Linked DNA regions of Drosophila melanogaster. The protein of the gene in region 1 interacts with the protein of each later gene in a pairwise test. Each region holds a gene or a part of one and is shown on either strand. Other genes may lie near its edges.

The links. The genes of interacting proteins can lie anywhere in the genome.
Region 2: the proteins of CG3529 (region 1) and NC2alpha interact in a two-hybrid assay, tested with the Drosophila melanogaster proteins (one large-scale study listed by BioGRID).

Annotation. Positions count from the first base shown.
Region 1 is NT_037436.4:9,444,997-9,448,751, reverse strand, and holds the start of CG3529 (uncharacterized protein), read right to left. Parts: upstream 1,889-3,755; 5' UTR 1,757-1,888; coding exon 1,690-1,756; intron 365-1,689; coding exon 1-364. Other genes in the region: Srg3 (Sting-regulated gene 3), read right to left, coding at 2,467-3,050.
Region 2 is NT_033778.4:21,668,121-21,671,875, reverse strand, and holds NC2alpha (negative cofactor 2alpha), read right to left. Parts: upstream 1,725-3,755; 5' UTR 1,630-1,724; coding exon 1,588-1,629; intron 1,381-1,587; coding exon 397-1,380; 3' UTR 283-396; downstream 1-282. Other genes in the region: CG15676 (uncharacterized protein), read right to left, coding at 1-147; CG42381 (uncharacterized protein), read left to right, coding at 2,058-2,121, 2,183-2,339, 2,396-2,405; CG42379 (uncharacterized protein), read left to right, coding at 2,405-2,659; CG42380 (uncharacterized protein), read left to right, coding at 2,668-2,865; PIG-M (phosphatidylinositol glycan anchor biosynthesis class M), read left to right, coding at 2,888-3,755.

The DNA of each region.
Region 1 (3,755 bases):
GTGACGCCGTTGAGATCCGGTTGGTTCTTAAACGCATCCGCCCAGATTTGTATCAGACTGAGAACCTTCTCCTGCATGGCGGCTGGTGGATCGTTCTTGGGCCCAATCAGCTTGACCAGCTCGTTGATGAAGTCCTTCTGGGCCACCAGGACATGGAAGGCCTTGCCGCAGTTCTTCACGCATGTCTCCAGGACGGTCAGCGTGTACATCACCACCTGGTTGTTTTTGCCGGCGTTCTGGGAGAGGCGTTTGCGAATGGCACGCATAGCATCGCGTGCAGTGTCGGAGGATTCGTTGATCATGTCGCAGATCTCCATGTTGGCGGCCCAGTTCTCCGAGGCCAGGTTGGCATCGGTGGCGGCCTCTGAAAGGTGAGAAGGTAAGTATTAGTTGACACCTTAAGATCTTTTTAAATCTATCGTTCTTCCAGAAAAAAAAACTGCAACAATATTTCATGTAATATAAATACAAAAACAAAAAAGGTATCCCTATTTTTTTTTTTTAAATTTGTATCTTATTTCTGAAAACGCTCGTTACATTTTAATTATAATAATATATTTAATTATAATTCCAAGTAAATTGTGCGGTTTTTGATCCGAAAGATGTAATTATTTTTTTCGTTTTCTGTGTGAAAACCCAAGTAAACAATTTGCATTCCTTTGTTTGTTTTTATGGGCGGCTGAAACTGTGTTTTTTAACAGGTGGGCGAGCATTATCTTTCGTTTATAATTTAGGATCTACCAAGTGCAATGACTTGCTCGAATTAAAAATGCACAAAGCAATTTGTTTAAATCCAAAACGAAACCATTGCGCAAAGTGTATTTCTCAGATATCAGATATCGTAACACTGATATCCAACAGATATAGGAGATATGGGAAAAGCTAACCAACCGCAATACAATAACAAAATGTGAGCTCATAAAAAAAGCGAAGCAACAAATTAGTACGGCACTAATACATATGCACGATTGCACGTAAATGTGTGTATCTGTGTTTGTTGTGTGTGCAGCGGCAAATGGAAATTATGGCGAAAATGCGAGCCAAAGGGGAACACGAAATAAATTAACACATTTTTTTATGTAACCCAGCGGCCAGCGGCAACGATGACTAATTGCGATTACTAAGGGCGCAAAACAGGTGGCCGCCAGGAGGGGGTGAAGGGAAAACAGGCAATCAAACAATAAAAGAGCGCATCAATAACAATACTCTTTGTGTGCGTGCCAAAAGGTGAGCAATTTCATAAAGCATACCAACAAACATTTATCTGATTTGTCACACCTGCCTGTTGGAACCGCATACTCATATAAGGGTTAATCTTATCAGAGGCCCACCGTTGTTGCCACCGCCTTTCAAATCAAATCAGACCGCTTTGCCATAGTAATGGTCTGGCAACAACAAATGAGTATCGCTACATGGAAATGTGCGCGTGTGTGTGAGAGACCAACAACAAAACAAGAAAACAAGCAAACGCACGAAGAAAGTTGTGAAAATTCAATTTTCCAATGGCCCAGTCTGATTGGGACTGCCTTGAAGCGTCCTCTAATCAGATAACTATCAATGTAAATGCGTAAATATCAACGCATATGCGTTGTATTTGTGGAAAATATTACGCTTTAACCACATATACACACACCCCCGCTTCCGGTGGGTGTTTTTTTTACGCTGGAGGGGGGAGGGTGGTTTACTCACCTATGCGCTGGCCAACTGGAGTGGAGAAAACATTTCCCAAGGCGCCAACGTTGAAAAATGAAGCCATCGTGGAGAAGTTTCTTATTAATGCTCGCCGTTGGGTTGCAGTGCGGTTAAAATTGTTCTTTATTTACTTTTTGTTCACCTGGATGAAATGTTTATGCACTTGTCTACAGCAGAGTGACCATGGCTGGCCTCAGCGAAAAATACCCACAAAGAAATGCATTACAATAAGTGGGTAAATAGGAATAGGTTTTTTTCCAGGGCTGCAGCATTTTATTTCATTTTATTTAAAAGAATTATCCACAGTTTTTGAGATAATGACATAGTTATACCCGTTACTCGTAGAGTAAAAGGGTTTATTAGATTCGTTGAAAAGTATGTAACAGGCAGACCATATAAAGTATATATATTCTTGATCAGGATCAGTAGCCGAGTCGATCTGGCGATGTCCGCCTGTCTGTACGTTTGAACGTCGAGATCTCAGGAACTATTTAAGCTAGAATGTTTAGATTAAGCGTGCAGATTCCAGAGACATAGACGCAGCCCAAGATTGTTGACCCATGTTTCCATGACCACTCCAACGCCCACATTAGATTGTTCTTAGTTTTATTGTTCACCTTGCACCTTGCACCTTTTGGATTGTAATCACACCCACATCTTTAAACAATTTTAATTTTTTCTCATTTTATTCGCAATCCGACTAGCTGAGTAACGGGTACCTCATAGTCATGGTTGTTCACAGAGCGTGTTATGTATCTCAAAAACTTTGTAATTTCAAAGAGTTATTTCACAATTCATTCCACAGATTTCGTGGATAATGAATTTTCGATTGTTCAACCTTGCACCTGTCTCAAAAATGAGCTTTCCGTCAGCGGTCCTTCTGACGGTACCGCTGGCGGTCCCACTGATGGTTCCGCTGATGGTCCCGTTGATAGCCCCACGGACGGTCCCCTTGACGGTTCCGCTGACGGTCCCTTCGATGGTTCCGCTGCCGGTCGTGCTGACGGCCCCGTCGACGGTCCGGCTGATGGTCCCTTCGACGGTCCCGCTGAGGGTTCCGCTGAGGATCCCGCTGAGAGTCCCACTGAATGGCATTGGAACGAACTCGTTGATGACCAATCCAATGACGGTCGCGCTGACGGTCCCGCTGACGGTAGCGCTGACGGTCTGGCTGAGGGTCCCGCTGAAGGCTCCTCTAGCGTTCCCGCTGACTTTCCCGCTGACGTTCCCGCTGACGTTCCCGCTGACGTTCGCGCTGACGCTAACGCTCCTGCTGACGGGCACGTCGTCGGTCTCGCTGTCAGTGATCTCCATGTCGACGGCCCAGATTTCCGAGGACAGTTCATAGGATTCGTCCTCTGAAAGAAGAGAACGTAGGGTATATTAGTGAGTGAGGCTTTGAGACTTATATTTTGATAGTCCCGACTTGGTTAGTCGGCTAAACTTCTCTGTTCCAAGACCCATAATCTTAAGCCCATTTAGATCTAACTATAAGTTGCATGATTCTTACAGAATATTGTGTTCTGACTATAATAGTCATTATCCTATTATCTGTAATCTTTGCTCTCTGCCGCTCTTAAAGCAATCAATCAAATCAATCGGTGCATTATTCACAAATACGACGCAAAATTTGTTTTTGGTTAGATTAAGGAATATATGAGTTAGCGGTTCCAACAGGCTGATAGGACAAATCATATGCCTCGCACGTAGGGTATAAACTGAGAAGAAACGTGTTTTTCCCCGGAATTCTTTGCGACACATACAGTTTGTCAAGAAACTGTTTACACACTGTGAAATAAGTTGAATTTTTGACTTTAAAGCTAAAAATAAAGGGTTTTTTGCTTAATTAAACGCAATTTTTTTATAAAATATAATTAAACAATATTTATTTTACTTATAAATCAAAAAACAAATTAAAAATATTAAATATACAAGAAAATAAACAACAAATTCCAAGTTTACACACTTTTGAGACTGTCAAGAAACTCTTTACACATTTTGTTTTCCTACTTTGTTTTGTTCTTTTTCTTAGAACGAACTCGATTTTTCCGTTATTTTTGGCT
Region 2 (3,755 bases), on another chromosome or scaffold:
CTTCAATGCCGCTGGAACAGTCGAATAGAACTCTGGCTTGGCGATGTAGCTGACGACATCGTCAACTAACTTGGCCTCTGGGATGGGCATAAATGACTTTCGGCCGCCCAGAGGCGGCTTTTTTATGGTGTCTATGAATGCAAACATTTTCAATAATTGTTGAACTTGTTTAGTACATCTAATTCAAAGATAAACTGATTTAATATCGTATGCAAATTAAACAGCATTATCTGCTAGAATGTATAAATTTTCTTTCTCTATTTAAAGTACTCCGCATTGCGTCAGCTTAAAATCCAGCATGGTCTTTATTTTGCAAAAAATGTTATTGTGATTTCTTAGACCTAGAGTACATATTAATGTATCAATAATTTAAAAGCGCATTCACATAGATCCTAATCAAATATTGTCATAGTCTTCGTCTAATTCGAAAACGGTTTCAGTGGGGGTCGCTGATGCCGCTGTGGCCTTTGGAATGATGGGAGCGCTGCTCTTTCCAGCCATTTGGTTCACATTATTGTTGTCCCCCGGCGTGGCCGCTGGTAATCCAATAGAGGCGGGGGGCACACCACTGCCAGGTGCTCCACCGGCCACGATATTCGTCAGATCGATATTGATCACCGGAGCAGCTATGTCGAAGTTAAAAGCTCCAGATCCGGCGCCCGATCCTGACCCAGAATCAGAGGCGTCCGGTGTGCACAGGTTCGCCGTCGGCATTTGCACGTGGCTGTAGTCGATCTTGACAATGGGCTTGTTGAGTTCGTAGTTGCAGATCGGGGCGGGTATGGCAGTATCGAGCTGCACCGACTGTTTCTTGAGGTGATTGGGCGGTCTGCCCCGTGGCGTGTAGGCCGGCATGGACCCGGAGCGGGCCAGCTTGGCGGGCAGGGTGGTGCTGGTGGTGGGAGTTTCCTGGGTGGAGTGCTGCGACTGAAACTGCCGCTTGGTGGCTGCGGCTCCTCCGCCCGATCCGGCTCCGTTGTTCAGACTCATGGAGCGCATGTAGGCAGCTGTGCCGTTCGCCTGCGAGCGCATTGACGTCGATGGCAGGCTAAGATCATATGGCGTGTCTGAATCTGGATACTGTTCCTCTGGCGAGCTGCGTAACACATCGTCCTCGTTGTAGGCGGCCTCCTCGGCCACACTGATGTCGGGTATGTTGCGGACCAGCTCCTTGAGGAAGTCAAAGCGTTTCTCGGATACGATACACTGCCTCATGTGCGATGGCGATAGCGTCTTGGCGTTGCGCGCATTCGTGATGCGCAGCGTCTTGGTCAGCAGCGACTCCACGAAGAGCTCCAGCGTGCGTGAGATGATAACAGGCACCGCCTGGGCCACCTTCCCGATTTCCTCGTCGCTTTGCATGATCTTCTTGATGCGACCCTGCAAGGAGTTTATGGTAATGGTTTGGAAACATTATAATCTCGCACCGGTTTGGTTTCTCCTCTACTTCTTTTGAGCCTCTGATTATGCGAGGCGTGTATGTACATATGTATGTACACATGCACGAAAACTGATAACCCATCTTCGGCGTTCACGGCCGCCAAATGGCTGGAGCTTTCCTGTCGCCAATCGGTGGTTTCAACTTACCGCCGGAAAGCGTGCGTTGTATTTTTTCTTTTTCGATGGCATTTTCCGATTTGTGAAGTAATCGTCAAGAGTCCTAGTGAAATAAAACAAATGTGTGTGTGTTTTTCACACAAGAACAGTTCCTTGGTGCCCAACTGTCGGCGTCGATGGGTGAATGGCAGTTGCTCTCGCAGCAGGCGGGGTATTCACAGGGAAGCAAAAGGTATTAATATCAAAATTTGAAAGATTAAAAATTTTTGTACATTATAAGAGATGTTATTTCTTTTTGTTGTTATTTATGTGATTGTTTTTTATTTTGCTTTGATGTATTAGGTTTCCTACACAGCTGACCGTCGCGCAGTCTGGCTACCTTGATCGTGCACTGTGAATGACTACAACCGCCAAGAAGAAGAAGAGTGCAGAACACTTCCAAGTACTTTTCACATATTGCAAGAGCGATTTAATATCGTAAGAATTCTGGGCAGGATTACATGTCTGACACTCGCAAGGATCCCTGCAAACCGAACGCCTGCCGCATACAAGCCTGTCTGACCAGTAAGCACCGCCGGTGACTCCATTTTCATGGTTATGTAAGCTGACTTGCACTCGGTTACAGAGAATCACTACCAGGAGGACAAGTGCTTGGATGTCCTTGAGGCAATGCGCCAGTGCTGTTTAAAGTGGCACAAGGAATCGCTTTGCTGCAGTGGAATCGATTTGGAGAAGACTTATCTACCAGACGCATCCAAGGAAAAGAACGCAACCGGCAAGTCGTGAGTTGTAGCCAACTTCTCTATTCCATATACACTATTATCAACTCGTTTTGCAGGAACAAATAATGTCCATACCGCAGTATAGGCCTCCGAAGGAAATTCAAGACTTGCTGGACCAAAAGGAGCAACAGCAAGCAAATCAGCGCAGGCGAACCGCTGTGCTACCCAAACGCACGTGGATTCAGCGAAATCCACGCCTGTTCCAGATCTCCTTCATCACAGGCTCACTTCTGATCTTCTTCTCCAAGCCCCTGTTTGACTGCTTTATCGCCGATCCCCTACCACCGCCGGAGAACAAAGTTCCGCCTCACAAGCGCTAAGCTAAGGCATGGAATCGGTGCGCAAAGCCAACCAAAGAATCCGCAACTATCCAGTTCTGCTAAGCAAGTGCGCGGACAAAGCCACTGCGTATGCGGTTTGCGTGTCGCGTGATCTAAACGTGCAGCACAAAATCTGCGACACCGAGTTCAAGGAGTTCCTAAGCTGTATCCGCAAGACCGCTTTGGAAATGAAGACCAAGCTTTAGACAAACGTAAACAATAAACACGATGACTCAAACAAAGGCTGCGACCACTGGATGGCAGCGACTGGGTCGCCGCATCCTTTACACTAGCTTTCGGACCCATCTACTAATATCCGCCCTGCTGCGAATAGCTTTAATTTGCTACGGACAATTACACGACAGTCAGTCCGCCGTGCCCTACACCGATATAGACTACAAGGTGGTGACTGATGGAGCCCGTCAAGTTCTGGCTGGGGACACACCCTTCGCCAGGCATACTTACCGATATAGCCCAATCATGGCATATCTGCAGACTTTTAACATCCTGCTTCATCCGGCGTGGGGTAAACTACTGTATGCGACATTCGATCTTCTCATCGCCACACTTATTTACCGTCTGGTGCACATGGAAATCAAGAGTCAGTACCAGAAGACCGTACAACACCTGCTTAGCAAGTTCAACAGGCCACGGGACTCGGACCAATCGCTGGATGCCCTGGATGAGCGAAGTCATCCAGAGAACTTGGCCCGCGCCTCTGCTTGCTTTTGGTTATACAACCCGCTGACGGCTGTAATATCCACACGTGGAAGCGGCGATTGCTTCTCAAGCTTCTTCGTGATACTAACTATATACCTGCTGTTAAAATCTGAGCACAATGTCACCAGGAGTTACTGGCTTATATTCGGAGCGGGCTTGGCTCACGGTCTAGTGATACACCTCCGTCTGTATCCGTTGCTATTCAGTTTGGCATACTATTTATCGCTATCAACGCGGCTGACACAAACTCCCCTCGACTTCCTGTGCCAAATCCTGCGGCCCAACAAGCAACAACTGTGCCTGATAAGTGGAACATTGATCAGCCTAGTGGCCTTCACTTGGACCTTCTACACAATGTACGGTTGGGAATATATAT